Linked DNA regions of Callithrix jacchus. The protein of the gene in region 1 purifies or fractionates together with the protein of each later gene. This does not show direct contact. Links are inferred from orthologs where the notes say so. Each region holds a gene or a part of one and is shown on either strand. Other genes may lie near its edges.

Region 1 (7,350 bases):
AATTGCTGGACTTCAATACTGAGTACAACTGCCGTAAAGGGGTTTTGATGTAAATACAATTTGAAGAACATACAGATGAAAAGATGGTATCAGAAGTACTGAGCTTAGGAAGAGAGTGAACTAAGACCACGTAGGGCTGCATGTGCCTCGACCATTTGACGGAAGGAACAGAGGACGTTGGTCAATGCTGTGGTTAATAGGGTTTGTTAAGAGTCACTGTAGAAAGCAAAGATAGAAAGTTGCATTCATAAAGCGGTATTTTCTTGGAAAATTCTAGCCCCCAAGGCAATTTTTCCTGACCAAAACACCTGAAACTCAGTGTCCTCAGCTGAAAAATAATTTAAATAATAATAATACCTGTTATCCACCCTACCTACTTCAAAGGGTTGTGGAAGGAGCTAAGTGATGTTGGTGAAGGTACTTAAATCTCTGAGCCTAGCACTAGGAGTAAGATTAGCTATAGTAATAATAATTTTAGACAATCTGACCCATTCTATCCCTCTCATATATTAAGATAACCCAAATGAAGCTAAGCATGAAGATTTTATTTACTTATAGCCACATTCTATGTGATGATGTTTAGCTTATAGAGCAGTATCTGATACTTAAATATACAAAATCTAAAAGGAAAATAACTTAAAAATAGATTTTTTTCAGGCAGTTAAACCACTTTCTTTTTCATTAAACACAAATAGCCCTAAGTTGGTGGGGGCCAGAAGGAGAATCAAGGAAAAAGAAAGATTATAAAAACATGAATTTGCGGCTGGGCGTGGTGGCTCATGCTTGTAATGCCATCACTTTGAGTGGCAGAGGCGGGTGGATCACCTGAGGTCAGGAGTTCGAGAACAGCCTAGCCAACATGGTGAAACCCCATCTCTACTAAAAATACAAAAATTAGCTGGGTGTGATGGCACACACCTGTAATCTTAGCTACTCGGGAGGCTGAGGCAGGAGAATCGCTTGAACCTGGGAGGTGGCGGTTGCGGTAAGCCAGCGCTGTGCCACTGTACTCCAACCTGGGTGATAGAATGAGACTCCAACCTGGGTGACAGAATGGGACTCTGTCTCAAAAAAAAAAGTTTGCACTTCTTTGCGTTACATCCTACATTGCTGTAAACCAATTACAAAGAACTGGTTAATGTCCAAAATCTTTTCAGTCAGGGTTTCATAATTATTGTTTGCACAAGAGACACAGTCCTCTGGAAATCCAAATTATGGATTCTTAGAATTAATACATAATTTTACTGAAAGGATAAGCCTAGTTAGCAAAAGAATAGTGATGATTTGGGGTTATATTCTGCTAAACAGCATGCTATTTTGAATTACCTACAATGAATGTGGTTTCACAGTATTATCTGTAAGCCAGTGTTTTTCTTCCTTGCATTTTCTGCCTCTTTTATCTCACTGTTAGCACCACAATAAAGAAACCCTAGAAAGCTGTACAGGAAAATAATTTGAACGTGAACTTGTACTCTCAGAAACAACTGCATTTGCAGCTCTTTCCCACTTCATATTCAAAAGTACCCACATTTATCTGGTCTCTTTTTCTACTGTCATCTAAATGGGGGAAAAATGTATTCAGTGTGTAAAAACATGCTATTGTATCTCAGAGAGGAGATGGGATGCTAATTAAGGGTTATTTGAATGAACAAGTCACACTGCATTGTCTACTGGGAGCTGGCTGCCAATTGCTTTTTTGGTAACAAGTCAAGAAAAACATTCAAGAAGGCCCCTGCAAGCTTGGGAGAGAAGCAAGGCACATTTCCATTTATCAAGTAGGTGCAGAAGCATGTTCAAGTAAGTATTAAGAATCAGGGTACAGACAGTAAGCTCCTGCCCTGCAGCTTTTCTTATTGGTTTTGAGAGCCACCTTCCTAAAGAGAGGCCTCCTGCTCAGGTCTGATCGTGGACAATGGGGCACGTACGACAGACTGCTGGACTGCTGAATGAATGCCTCTTTCTTTGTTCAATAACTTTTTCAAGATTCTTTGTCATTCTTCTTGGACTCATCGGGAGGCATGGGTTTTAAGATACGCGGTAGCTCGGGTCTTACAGCAAAATAATTGATGCTTCATTGAAAGAAACCAGGCAAATTGGTTAGTATGATTACCTTTAACAAAGTGGGTAAATTTTAGACATTTGGCAACTCATAGATTTGGAGAGTAATGAGTTGCTCTATTTTAAAAAGATTTCTTCTCTTAATGTTAATGTAAAGTCAGCCAGAGTAAGCCTTTTGGTCTGATAGCCTGAGAGTCTTGGGTGGCATGTAAATAAAGGGAAACAATTTACTTCATTTGAAAAAAGGGTCAAAATGTGGAGGATGTAAATGTGCTTTTATTGTAATGGATGAAAGAAATGGATTTCCTAGGTGAAGTGACTTCCTTCACTGTGCTAGCATGTAGGGTAGTGGTACTTAGCGTGATACAGCCCTGGAGGCATGTTTCTGATTCTTTACATGCCTTTTCCTTCAGTTCTGTAACTTTGCGAGTCTTTTGCTGCTCTTTTAAATCTATAAGTATTTAAATTTTTGTCAAGTGTGTTCATATGCCTTTGACATAGATGTGAAGAGACAAGTGTCCTGGGTATTAAAAGGTCCTGATTGAAGGCAACAAGTGAAAGAATTTCTATGTAAATGTGTGGATGGTTGGGAGAAAATCAGTGCTATTTAACTATTTCTGAAATTAACATTGCTTCCAAGAGCACTCAAAATGAAACATCAACGTTTGTCATTTTACATTCTTTATCATCAAAATTTGTGGTAAAAGTTATTTTGCAGTTTAAAAAGCAAAATAATATGACATTATATGTATGCTTGAATCTCACTTTGCAATTTTTAATTAATAATTAAAAATTGGATATATTTTAATTTATATAACCAGTAACTGGATATAATAATATGAAAATAATGTTTAGGGCATGAAGATCTAATCACTTTGGGCCAAAAATCTATCACCCAGAAGTTTTTAAATAACAATAATAATAATATGTTTTTAAGTGCTTATTCTGTGCCTGGCTTTATCCTAAGTACTTTTTATGTAGCAAATCATAAAGAAACTATAACCAAAGGAGTTGGGTATCTTGTTCATGGATTCACAGGTAATGAATGGTAGAACCAAAATTTGGACCCAGGCTCTGAGTTCAAAGTCTGCACATGAACCACCATGTATGTTGCCTTGCTCGCAGTATAATTATTATCACTCTTTTTAAGCTCCTCAGGAGGGTCCATTATAAAAATATTTTTAACATCTTTTTTATAAATTAGTTTCATAAGTGAAAAAAACCATTGGTCAAGGAAAACATAATACCATAGGAGTGTTAATGGTCATTATATCTGCCTTACATATAAGGGAAACTTGGTTCTGTGGCATCTAACATATTAGATATTCTCATTAGACACAAGTTTGATGAAGCAGGAAAATGTAACTTTCCTCAATTATTGTGGGAAAACATTCTTTTTATTTCTAGTCAGCACAGGATAAATTCTAATATTTGGATCTTAATTGCTTTATTCTTAAATATTTTAGCTTAGTTCTTAATTTCTCTGTGGAGTTTTGGGAAATTTTGCCTTTTTTTTGTATGGAGTCAGCAGTGACTGACAGGCACATGTAAAATTGATACTTTTTTAAAAATCTCTTAAGATATAAGTTACATACCATAAAATCTGGCTGTTTTAAGCTTTATAATTCAGTGGTTTTAATAGATTTATAAAATTATAAAAATTGATATTTGATTTTTTTAAATTAATCAGGTAAAACTCTTGAGATGCTTAAATAAAAAGTACTCCAAGGCTAATAAAAGCTATTAACGTTTGCTGTATTCTCTTTCCCCTCCCCCAGAAATGTGTGCTGTACTGGCCAGAAAAGAGAGGGATATATGGGAAAGTGGAGGTTCTGGTTATCAGTGTAAATGAGTGTGATAACTACACCATTCGAAACCTTGTCTTGAAGGTAAGATTATGTAGCTATAGCCATCTACAAAGTAGGTGATGTTAGAGGATTACATTTCTACTTTGAAATTATTTATCTTAATAAGTACTACAAATTCAATTTAAGCAAATTAAATAGTTTTAAGATCAAAGAGAAACTATAATCATTCTCTTATGTATTTTTTGTTGTCAACTACTATTAGTATGTAGTATAATTAAATCAATGTAAGTAGACGTTAAGAAAATTCATTATGTAGGATGTTGTGATCCTCTAATTTGCATTAATAAAACATCTCTGATTTAAACTTTTGAAAGCTTTTAACTAAAGGCTGTGCTGGAGACTTTGCCATGATTTTTTTTGAGACGGAGTTTCGCTCTGGAGTGCAATGGCACGATCTCGGCTCACCGCAACCTCCGCCTCCTCGGTTCAGGCAATTTTCCCGCCTCAGCCTCCTGAGTAGCTGGGATTACAGGCACGCACCACCATGCCCAGCTAATTTTTTGTATTTTTAGTAGAGACGGGGTTTCACCATGTTGACCAGGATGGTCTCGATCTGTTGACCTCGTGATCCACCCACCTCCGCCTCCCAAAGTGCTGGGATTACAGGCATGAGACACGGCGCCCGGCCCTGCCATGATTTTTTTTAATGTCATTTTGGTCTAAGCAGCTTTAAGTGAGGCCTGGAAGCTGTGAAAGTGAAAATCTGCACTTGTGGGTGTCAGTGGGAAGCAAGACAAGCCTGAAGTGTTGATGAGATCTTCAGAAGCGTGGAGTTACAGTAATTTATAGGGATTTTCCCCAGATGAGATTATGTCATAGGAAAACTATCTTATTTAACTCCTGGGCAGCAGATGCTGAGAAACGTTGCCATGGTATTACTTTTGCTTCTGGAGAATAATCACCCAAAAATTTCGATCTTATCTGCAGCCTCACTGCTGGGACAAAATCATCACAAAGAGGAAGAAAACAGAGGCAGAGCTACAGGGATGGATTTTATTGGGAAGTTTGGAATAGGAAGGCACTTACCGAAATCTGTTTTTCAGCAAACATTGTGGAGTGCCGGGTTCATACCACACCCCCACCTGTGCTGGGTTTCAAGATGATGTGTGTGGGCCCTCGCCCAAAGTGTTTCCAATAGAGGGACCTCCTGTAGCTTCTTTATTGCTGGGATTCCTCACTCCTATTAAATACTGGAGTTTGAGATGAGTGTAGAAGTAATAGCATGACTGACATGAAATTAAGTGTTCTATTAATATGTGTATAATAACTTGTCAGGAATGCTCATGGAACAGGAAACAAAATATATCCCATTCTTTCTTGGCTACATTTTCACCTACCATCTTGTTTATTAAAAGAAATTATATATATGCTAAATATATATTTAGCATATCTTACATGTATGAACTATACTATAACTATAGGTAGAGATACAAATCTTCACAAAGGTAAAACTTTCTCACTTCGAGATCAGGATACGGACAGTAAAGTCTTCTCAAAATAAAAGGGCACTCTTCGAAAATCTTGTAGATTTTTTTCCCACCTAGAAATAAGTTGCCAGCAAGATGGGGGTGATAAAAGGCATCCAGCATTGTGGTTTGGATGACTTTTAGTTCCACAAGTGAATGAGGCATTTGGTGCCTGTTGCTATTTTCAGCAAGGAAGTCACACCCAACATGTGAAGCATTACTGGTACACCTCATGGCCCGATCACAAGACTCCAGACAGTGCCCAGCCCCTCCTACAGCTCATGCTGGATGTGGAAGAAGACAGACTTGCTTCCCAGGGCCGAGGGCCTGTGGTTGTCCACTGCAGGTAAGACGTGAATGGTACTTTCTGTCTAAGCAATAGCCCATTCTTTATAAAGTCACAGAGCAGGTAGAAGTGGGTTTTGCTTCCGGGATGTGACTTTGCTGGAAAATTATTTATTGAAATTGGTTAACTGCCTAATATTTGAGTCTTAATCAAGATTATGCTGACAGAAGTGAAGTCATGTTTTGAGGCATTTTTGGAAAACAATGATTACACAACGGGTGAAATACAAGTTCGAAATAAGTGGCTCAGTAAACAGGAGACCTTATTCAGCAGTTACCTGCTTTAAAATACTGATTCATTTAGTCTCATCAGTCTTGTAGGACCAGGAATTAAAATGCATTTTTTTAAATCATCAGTGGCTTTTCTGGGATTTCATGATGACATCTGAACTCTGCCTGGTTTGTATCTTGGTAACATTTATTACCATTTCAAGTTTGGTGAAAACCAGTCAATTATTTTAACAGTTATCTCAGGAAAAACAGATTGAAACAAATTTATGAAATAAGAAGTGAGCAAGTGGTAGTTCACCGAAGGAAAACAAAGTACTGTTACAGAACGTAGAGCACCAGAGGCCAGGCCAACAACAGCAGCAGGGCGTGTGGTGGTTCCTGTCCCTCATCTCTAGTTCAGAACTCTCCTCCTGGAACTCATACCTCCTTCCCCTTGTTTTCCTTTTAATGTAACCAAACTGAAGCAAGCATTTTTAAGGTAATTTATATGATCGACCATTTATTTATTTTGAGACATTGTCTCACTCCATCACCCAGGCTGGGCAGCACCGTGGCACCATCTCAGTTTACTGCAAACTCCACCCCCTGGTTCAAATGATTCTCCTGCCTCAGCTTCCAAAGTAGCTGGGATTACAGACATGTACCACCATGCCTGGCTAATGTTCATGTTTTTAGTAGAGATGGCCTTTCACCATGTTGACCAGGCTGGTCTTGAACTCCTGACCTCAAATGTGATCTGCCTGGGTTGGCCTCCCAAAGTTCTGGGATTACAAGCGTGAGACACCATGCCCAGCCACCCATTTATTCTTCATGTTTTCTCAAAATAATTTTTGTTGCTTTGTTTAACCACATAGGTCTCTTAAAATGGCTTTTGATAATATATTTAATAAATATAATACATTATTTTAGAGTATAATTTTAGCCTCCTTTTTTGAGATTATGTGATTTAATTAAGAGTACAGTTTACTATGTGTCTATTTATTCAAAGGTAGATAACATTGGCCTTACCCTAAACTTAACTTGGAGCAAAAAAATAAATAAAGCAGCCTAATTGGCTATGCTATAGGGCTGGAACTATCCCCTACCCAAAGTCATTAAACACTCAGGATATCTGAAATGGACTAGTCACTTCCCCTATAAAACCAGCTCCCCTTCTTGTTACTATTTCTAAGAAGACTATCTTTTTTCCAGTCACTCAGCATCTCATGTTGACAATTCTCTCTGGCCCTTCTTTTAACTCCAGCCTCACTATCTAATCAGTGACTAGATTGGCTTTCCCTTCAAAGCTTCTCTCATAATCACCATTTCCTGTCCAGCCACTATAGTTCAGGCCCTTATGACCTCATCCATGTATTTAAGAAGTAGCTGGTAAAATGCACACA
Region 2 (7,920 bases), on another chromosome or scaffold:
GGGGAGACCACTGGACACATAAACATTGGACAACCGCCTTCCATGCGATGTGGAGAGAGTAACGGTGTGTTGGAGAGATGCTCATTATTGGGGTGGGGGTGCTGGAGAAGGCATCTGCTTCAGAAGGGGCCCCTGACACATAAATGGCATTTGACAGGAAAAGAAAGGGGCAAGGAGGTGGGGGTGGGGATTCAGTCGCAGGGAAGAAAATGAACAAAAGCAGCGAGGACTGAAAGGAGGAGGAAAGGCTGGGCAGTCAGGCCTCGGAAGGAAAAGGATGGGGTAGGCGGTGGGGTGCAGGCAGCACATCAGTTCTGGGGCTTTTGACAATATAGATTAGGCGAATTTGAAAGGATGCAACTTGCAAAATGCTCACACGGTCTCTTGTCATTGCCATCCACACGGCCTTTTAAAGTAGAGACAATACCTGAAAGACAAGCTCCCAGGGACGACATTCATTCATTCATTCATTCGTTCCACAGATATTGACTGAGCGCCCGTGACGTGCCTGGCCCTGCGGCACACCTGGGTACCTACTGGTGACTCACGCAGCCCCTGCCTGGGGACCCGCCTTGGCCTCGCCGCTCACCGCCTCAGTTCCCGGCGCCCGGGAGTCTCCCGGCAGCCGCAGCGGCTCACCTGCTCCTTGGCGGGGGCCGGAGTGGGGCGCTGGGGTCTCACACGGCTCCCGCCTAGCTGGCGGCGCCGAGGAAGCGGACACCGGCGGTTCCCGAACCGTTGCGGCCGATCCCGCCGGCGTTCCCGGTGGACGGGAGATGAGAGTGGGGGAGGGGACGAGGAAGGATAGCAGGAACAGCTGGGCTGGGGAGCCAGGAAAGGGGTATCTGGGCCGCCCTCCTCATACGTGAGCCAGTACTTGGTAAACCTCGGTACCTGTACGCCAACGCTCCTACTCTCTCCGAGGTTTTACTATTCCTGATCGAGGGCCTATTTGGTGCCCAGCCTCGTGCTTTGAACATACAGTAATGCACAAGTGTACTGCACAGACGGTAATTCACTAACATCTCCTGAAGACTTAAGCCTTCCTCAGGTCAGAAGACCTAAAAGGAAATAGAGGCTAGGAAGGTCACCCGGGTCTCCAACCATAGGCCCTCTTCCCTACAAGCCTGGCTCCCAGCACTGGTTGACACCCTCCTGCCCAGATCTCTGCTCTGCAGGCAGATTTGCCCTCTGCACTCACTCCCTTTACCCTCCTCGCACCCTATCCCTGTCCCCATCGCTGTCTCTCACTCCACCTTGTATTCCTGCTTGGCCCAGTTACAGTTTTACACTTGTTTGTTTGATGACTGTGTTAGTGTCTACCTTATTATTCACTTTATGTATTCCTTTTTGTAAATTGTCTTACCCCCATGAGGGCTGGGATTTTTATCCCTTTCAATAACTGTTTTATTATCAGTGCCCACAACAGTGTGGTGGACATAGGAAGTGTTCAACAAATTTGTGTTGAATGATTGCCCTCCCATCGATTGTAAGCTCCACACAGGCAGCAACTGTAGTTTTAAATTACTTTTTAACTACAAGTGCTTGGCACCCAGTAGGCATTTAATACACATTTGTTGAATGAGTATACAAATATACTGCTTACTTTATCTTTATCCTTTTATTTGCCCTCACCTCATCATACCAATTTGTAAGGTAAAAATGTGCATTTCTGAGGATTCCTACTTCCAGCCTTCCTCCTCACCCCTTGTAACCATCCCCTCATTCCCTTGATGCCCCCCACCCCATCCCTCTCTTCTTCACAATCATGTTTTTACTCTTACTTCCCCTTCACCCTCCATTACATCTTAGAAAGCTTCCTAGCCTCCCTAGTTTGGAACATTCTCAAGCATTATGTTTTTATAGATAAGAGAATTCCAGCTAAGCTACATTGGATCCAAGACAGCTTTCCATGAATCACCCATGACTCTGTTTTCTGGTTTTATGTTGCTTTCCTTGAGGAGGACTGAGGATCCTGTACCACCTCCTAAATTGAAATCATGGTGATTGTTCATAATTTTTCAATAAATACGTATGGGACATGCTTTATGTTCTAGACACTGTGCTAGATGTTGGGACAAGATAGGCAAAGTCTGAGCCCTCCAAGGTATGACACGGGAAATGATGAGAAATGTCCTGGCTTGCACCCAGTTATTTCTAATACAAGAAACTAAGAGAATCAGACAGGATCTGATTCTTCTGCTCATTGTAACAAGCTTTAGCATAGGTGTAGGTTGATAATGGATGTAGGCATGAGGTTATAATGCCTTGCCCATTTACATTTATCTTGTTCAGTTTTTACACATGACTCTGTTCATCGGGAATGCAGGGCAGAAATTCCTAAGGGTTTTCCTGAACTAAGGGTTCAGGAAAGGTCAATTGACTTGCCTAAATTTGATGAGACTCATGCCCTATTCTTCTTACTCCAAGAGGCCTAAGTTAAAGGCTTAAAATCCTCTTCACTGATGGCTCTTCAGGATAGGAGTCAGTTTCAAGTCTTCAGTGTAATGGTTTTTTTAAATGCTTCTCAAAGGGAAATATCAGAGACTTTCCTGAATCAGAACCACCTAAGATGTACTATAAAAATACATGCTCTTGATGCCGTCCTCTGACCTACCCAATTAGATTCCCTGTGAGTCCTGGGAACTTGCATCTTAAACTCCTAGAGTGATTTTTCTGCGTGTAAGTTTAAGAACTACTAGGAGAGTTTGAATGGAGAGCCTAGCTTTGATGCAGGTTGACATTTGTTTTGGGGGGCAGATTTCATCAAGCATCTTGAAGAGTAACCACATGTCCTTGAACAGATGGGAATGCAGCAGCCTTCTGGCCGGAACTTGTCTCTTTTTTATGCAAGTGTTTTTTGGAATTTGGGGGTTCTGTTGAGCAGGTGCTCAGCTGCTGGGAACTACTCTCTGTTAAAGATCTTTTGGCTCTTCCCCAACATGCTATTTGTCCCTCTCGTTTCCCACCACAGAGCCAGGTATTTGCCCCGCCGGCCACGGTGAGGCGCGCGCGGCGTGTGCTGCCCGCTTATCTCTTTCTTCCCTAGTGCTCCTTCGCGCCCTTAAGGAGACAGTCCCTGGGGAATTTCTGCCTCTGGTCTACAGTTGTTGCTCTCTTCTCGCGAGAATTGCTTCTCCCATATTCTCCTCTCACGAAGCCCCGCCCGCGGAGAGGTTCCATATTGGGTAAAATCTCGGTTCGCGGAGAGTTCCAGGAGCTGTTCTCGCGAGAGTACGGGGAGGCTCCCGTTTGCTGGCTCTGGAACCGGGACCACTGGATCCTCAGCGGGCGCAGCTGGAGCAGAAGTCCTGCGACGCAGCCCAGAGTCGGCCTAGTAGGGGCGAAGGTGCAGGGATATCGCGGCGGGCGCAGCCTTGAGCGCCAGAGCGCGTCCCTTCTCTTAACCGGGCTTGCCCCAGTCGCAGAGGCGCATCCAGCCGCTGCGGCTGACAGCAGCCGCGCGCGCGGGAGTCTGCGGGGTCGCGGCAGCCGCACCTGCGCGGGCGACCAGCGCGAGGTCCCCGCCCGGTTGGGCGGGCAGCAAGGGCCGGGGAGAGGGTGCGGGTGCAGGCGGGGGCCCCACAGGGCCACCTTCTTGCCTGGCGGCTGCCGCTGGAAAATGTCTCAGGAGAGGCCCACGTTCTACCGGCAGGAGCTGAACAAGACAATCTGGGAGGTGCCCGAGCGTTACCAGAACCTGTCTCCAGTGGGCTCCGGCGCCTATGGCTCTGTGTGGTGAGTGTCGCCGGGCCTCGCTGGGGCTGCTGTGGTCAGGGTGGCCCCTCGCGCCCGAGGGCCAGGCCTGCCCCACGGCTCAGCGTTGCGTCAAGTGGCAGGAATTTTCCTCGGGGGAGGGCATTGCTGCCCTTCGAGCCCTGCCTGTTCTGCACCTCCTGCACCCCTCGCCCTGCACTCGCGGGTATGTGGTCCACCGTGTGCAGCACTCAGGTCCGCTGCGAGAGGTAGGTGGTGGTGCTGGAGCTCGGTTCTGGGTAGCACCCTGCGCCTTCCCATCTCGGAGGGTTGCTGTTCGGCGGCAGGCGCCGGGGGCAGGGCTGCTTTCTTGGGGGGTCTCCCTACCGACCTGGAGCAGAAGGACCCTCTCCCGCGATGCGCCCACGCTGGAACGCGGGAGCCTGTCCTTTGAGCAGACAAGCTCGGGGAGCTCCCGGGAGAAGCAGAAGGGCAGAGGCCAACCCGAAGACTTCAGTCATCTGAACAAAACTGAGCAGGAAGGGAGCTCTCTCCGGGCTTTTTTTTTCCTTCTTTTTTTGCAAACCTCTGTCGAAATCCCATCTTGAGAAGCGTTCTTTTTGAATTCGCACTTGAGTTAGCACCGATCCATAGAGCTTAAAATACCGACTTTATCTCAGTGAGCACTGTGCCAGCTTGAGTGGTGTGTTTCCGATTCAGTTGAAAGCGTATTTCCTTTCCGTGGAGGGGCGGCGGTGGTAATGCTTGCAAGAACACTGCAGCTTGAGAAACTGGCAGCCTCACTGATTAGTCACATACCACTGCTCATTTAAGTATTGTTCGACAAAACAATTTTCTCCTTTGGAGCAAGAAAGATTCAGATCTGTGAGGTGCCCTCAAGATCAAAAAGTTATTAACAGTGCTGGGAGGTATTGTAAATTTCTTGTTGTGATAATTCCTGCGAATACTGTGGTTTAAAAGTCCCTCAGAGAGTTTGCAGGGAATTATCTGCATTTATGGCTTGAGGTACACGATGGTTTTCGTAAAGATATGGAACCACATAGAAAAGGAAGGGAAGAAATACTTTTTAGCTTTAATTTACACTATGAGTGTGTTTTAAATTAAGTCGATATCATATGATTTCCAGACCTGAAATATTTCACTAACTGACCTCTAACTTCCAAGGTTTTATACCCTGTATTTTAGATTTTGTATCATTTGAAAGCTATGGATCTGAAACTAAATATCAGATTTAACGGTTAGCTTTTTCTGTGTTTTAGTAATTCGTGTTTATGCAAGATTTGAAAAGGGGCCTGTAAAATCGTTTTTTGTTTTGGAACAAATTCCAGGCTTTTGGATGTGTTAATCTTTAAATATGATTGCTGTGTTTCCTGAAGTCACATCATGAATTTCCTGTTTGGTAGAATCTTCTGGGTAATTGAGATTGTGCAATTGTGTCCAGCAACAGATCATGTTGCATTTTCTAGTTCAAGCTGCTTAAGTTATGTTGTAGAATGCACCGTGCTTGACATCTTTCTCTCATTTTTACAGTGTGTCAGTTTACATTTTAAAGGAATTTGCAACATTTTACATTCAGAGAGAGAGAAAGAGAGTGTGTGTGTGTGTGTAGTTGATTTACAGCATTTTACATGCAGTATATACGTATATATATCTACTTGAATTGCTAATTTTCAAAGATGTATTTGGATCATTGCTCCTTTAATATTTTATGGCTCATTAATAGCTTTCCATTTTTTTCTTTCTTGAATTGACACATTCATTTCTGTAGTGTCGTGTTTTTGTTTTCAATGCTATTTAAATTTTAATGGAGTGATACAGCAGAATAAGTCAACTGTAGAGGGTTTGGGAAACTCCAATTGAATTGCTTGCAAGAGTTCACTGCTGTTGGTGACTCGCTCTGAACTGGAACAGGAGATCCAGATTTACAGTGAAGTGTCATTAAAATTAACTCCACATTTCTTTAGTGGTATATTTTTCTGTGGTATAGAAGTCAGCAGTATCTGACACTTAAAAGTACTTTTATTGAACAGGTTTTAAAAAATAGGTAGTGCATTGACATTGGATAAAATTTGAAAGCTTTAAAAAGGTATTCAGTGAAAAGTCTCCTTTCCTTTTTGTTCTCCAGTTACTCTACTGTCTCTTTTTTTTTTTTTTTTTTTTTTTGAGACAATCTCGCTCTGCCACCAGGCTGGAGTGCAGTGGCACAATTACGGTTCACTGCGACCTCCATCTCCCGGGTTCAAGCAGTTCTCCTGCCTCAGCCTCCTGAGTAGCTGGGACTACAGGCGCATGCTATCACGCCCAGCTAAGTTTTGTATTTTTAGTAGAGACAGGGGTTTCACCATGTTGGCCAGGATGGGCTGGATCTCTTGACCTTGTGATCTGCCTGCCTCAGCCTCCCAAAGTGCTGGGATTACAGGCGAGAGCTACTGCACCCGGCTACTCTCTTAAAGACAAGCACTGTTAAATGTCTTGTGTGTCTTTCCAGGGAGGCAGAGTTTTTTTATTTGCTTGTTTCTTTAGTAGTATTTCTACTAAAGGGATTTAAGATGTAACCTACAGCATATTGGTAAAGGAAAATACAACTGAAATTATATGACAATTGACAATAAACCAATATAACTAATGTTGGAATGAAATATCACAATTTAGATTTACAAGTAAATGTTATTTTATTCACAGATTCAGAGTAGTTATTTGAAGTGTTCGTTCTTTCTTTTTTTTTTGAGAAGAAATCTCATGCTGTTGCCCAGACTTGAATGCAGTGGCACTATTTCGGCTCACTAAAACTTCTGCCTCCTGGGTTCAAGTGATTCTCCTGCCTCAGCCTCCTGAGTAGCTGGGATTACAGGTGCTTGCCACCATACCCAGCTAATTTTTGTATTTTAGTAGAGATAGGGTTCTCCATGTTGGCCAGGCTGGTCTCAAACTCCTGACCTCAAGTAATCTGCCCTCCTTGGCCTCCCAAAGTGCTGGGATTACAAGCCTGGCCTGGAGTTGTTCTTTCTATGAGTACCTTTTTAGGTATGGCAGAAAACATTTTTTGGAACTTCTTTTAGACTCTACTTTGGAGCCTATGTTACTCTTTTTTTTTTTTTTGAGATGGAGTCTCACTCTGTTGCCTAGGTTGGAGTGCAATGGTACCATCTCTGCTGATTGTAATCTCTGCCTCCTGGGTTCAAGTGATTCTCCTGCCTCAGGCTCCCAAGTAGCTGGAATTACAGGTGTGCAACACCATGCTGGGCTGATTTTTGTATATTTAGTAGAGACAGGGTTTCACCATGTTGGCCAGACTGCTCTTGAACTCCTGACCTCAGGTGATCTGCCTGCCTTGGCCTCCCAAAGTGCTGAGATAAGGGGTGAGCCACCGTGTCTGGACCTCTGTCTTCATTTTTTGAGAGCAGATTTGATTTTAGGGAATAACAGTCCATTAGAATCCAAATAATTTAGGGAATTTGGACTCAAGTCTGATAAGAAAGATTAGCAATCATGTTGGTGATACTACTGTTTTAGGTCAGATAGGAGTTATAACTATAAAGTAATGGCACAGAATTTTTCATGTGACTCCTTGAACTGGACCTGAACTCTACTTCCAAAAAAAAAAAATTCTCTGAATTTTATTTTATTAATATTTATTTATTCATTTTGTAGAGATAGAGTCTCACTGTGTTGCCCAGGCTGCTCTCAAACTTCTGGCCTCAAGCAGTCCTTCCACCTTGGCCTCCAAAAGTGCTAGGATTATAGGAATGAGCCACCACACCCAGCCCCTGAATTTTATTTTCAAGAATGAAAATAAATGAATAAAATATTTCAGTGAATAAAATAGTTATTGAAGTATTTGTCAGCTTCCTAATTTTATTGCTCTAAAGTGTGGTATACTTTGTTGTGTAACATTTACAAATTATTTTAAGCCTATATTATTTTAATTTATACTAAGTATTGTAAAAAAACAAGTAGCAGCCTGTGTGATAACCAACTGTGAATCAAAATAGGGTTTTACAAATATGCCTTTTCTTTAAAGGGTAAAGGGAACTAAACTAGACTATGTCAGTTTTAAGGAACTTCATGCATTGTCTGTGAGGGGAAATGAAGCAAAATTGTTTAAGAATACGTTGTTACAAAGCATTGATTTTGGGGTTTTGGGACAGAAGGGAAGAATCTTTGTGGTGAGTTTCAGGAAATACAAACAGGAACTTAAGTGCC

The links.
Region 2: the proteins of PTPRR (region 1) and MAPK14 purify together in Homo sapiens (affinity purification with mass spectrometry; 4 studies listed by BioGRID and IntAct, counting the BioPlex papers as one, with this or other methods). This does not show direct contact. The link is inferred for Callithrix jacchus from reciprocal best matches to the Homo sapiens genes PTPRR and MAPK14.

What each region holds. Positions count from the first base shown.
Region 1 is NC_133510.1:73,187,747-73,195,096, reverse strand, and holds part of PTPRR (receptor-type tyrosine-protein phosphatase R), read left to right. Parts: intron 1-3,836; coding exon 3,837-3,947; intron 3,948-5,580; coding exon 5,581-5,738; intron 5,739-7,350. UniProt on the Homo sapiens protein: Sequesters mitogen-activated protein kinases (MAPKs) such as MAPK1, MAPK3 and MAPK14 in the cytoplasm in an inactive form.
Region 2 is NC_133505.1:44,334,475-44,342,394, forward strand, and holds the start of MAPK14 (mitogen-activated protein kinase 14), read left to right. Parts: upstream 1-3,250; 5' UTR 3,251-3,622; coding exon 3,623-3,738; intron 3,739-3,912; exon of another isoform or gene 3,913-3,924; coding exon of another isoform or gene 3,925-3,965; intron 3,966-7,920. UniProt on the Homo sapiens protein: Serine/threonine kinase which acts as an essential component of the MAP kinase signal transduction pathway.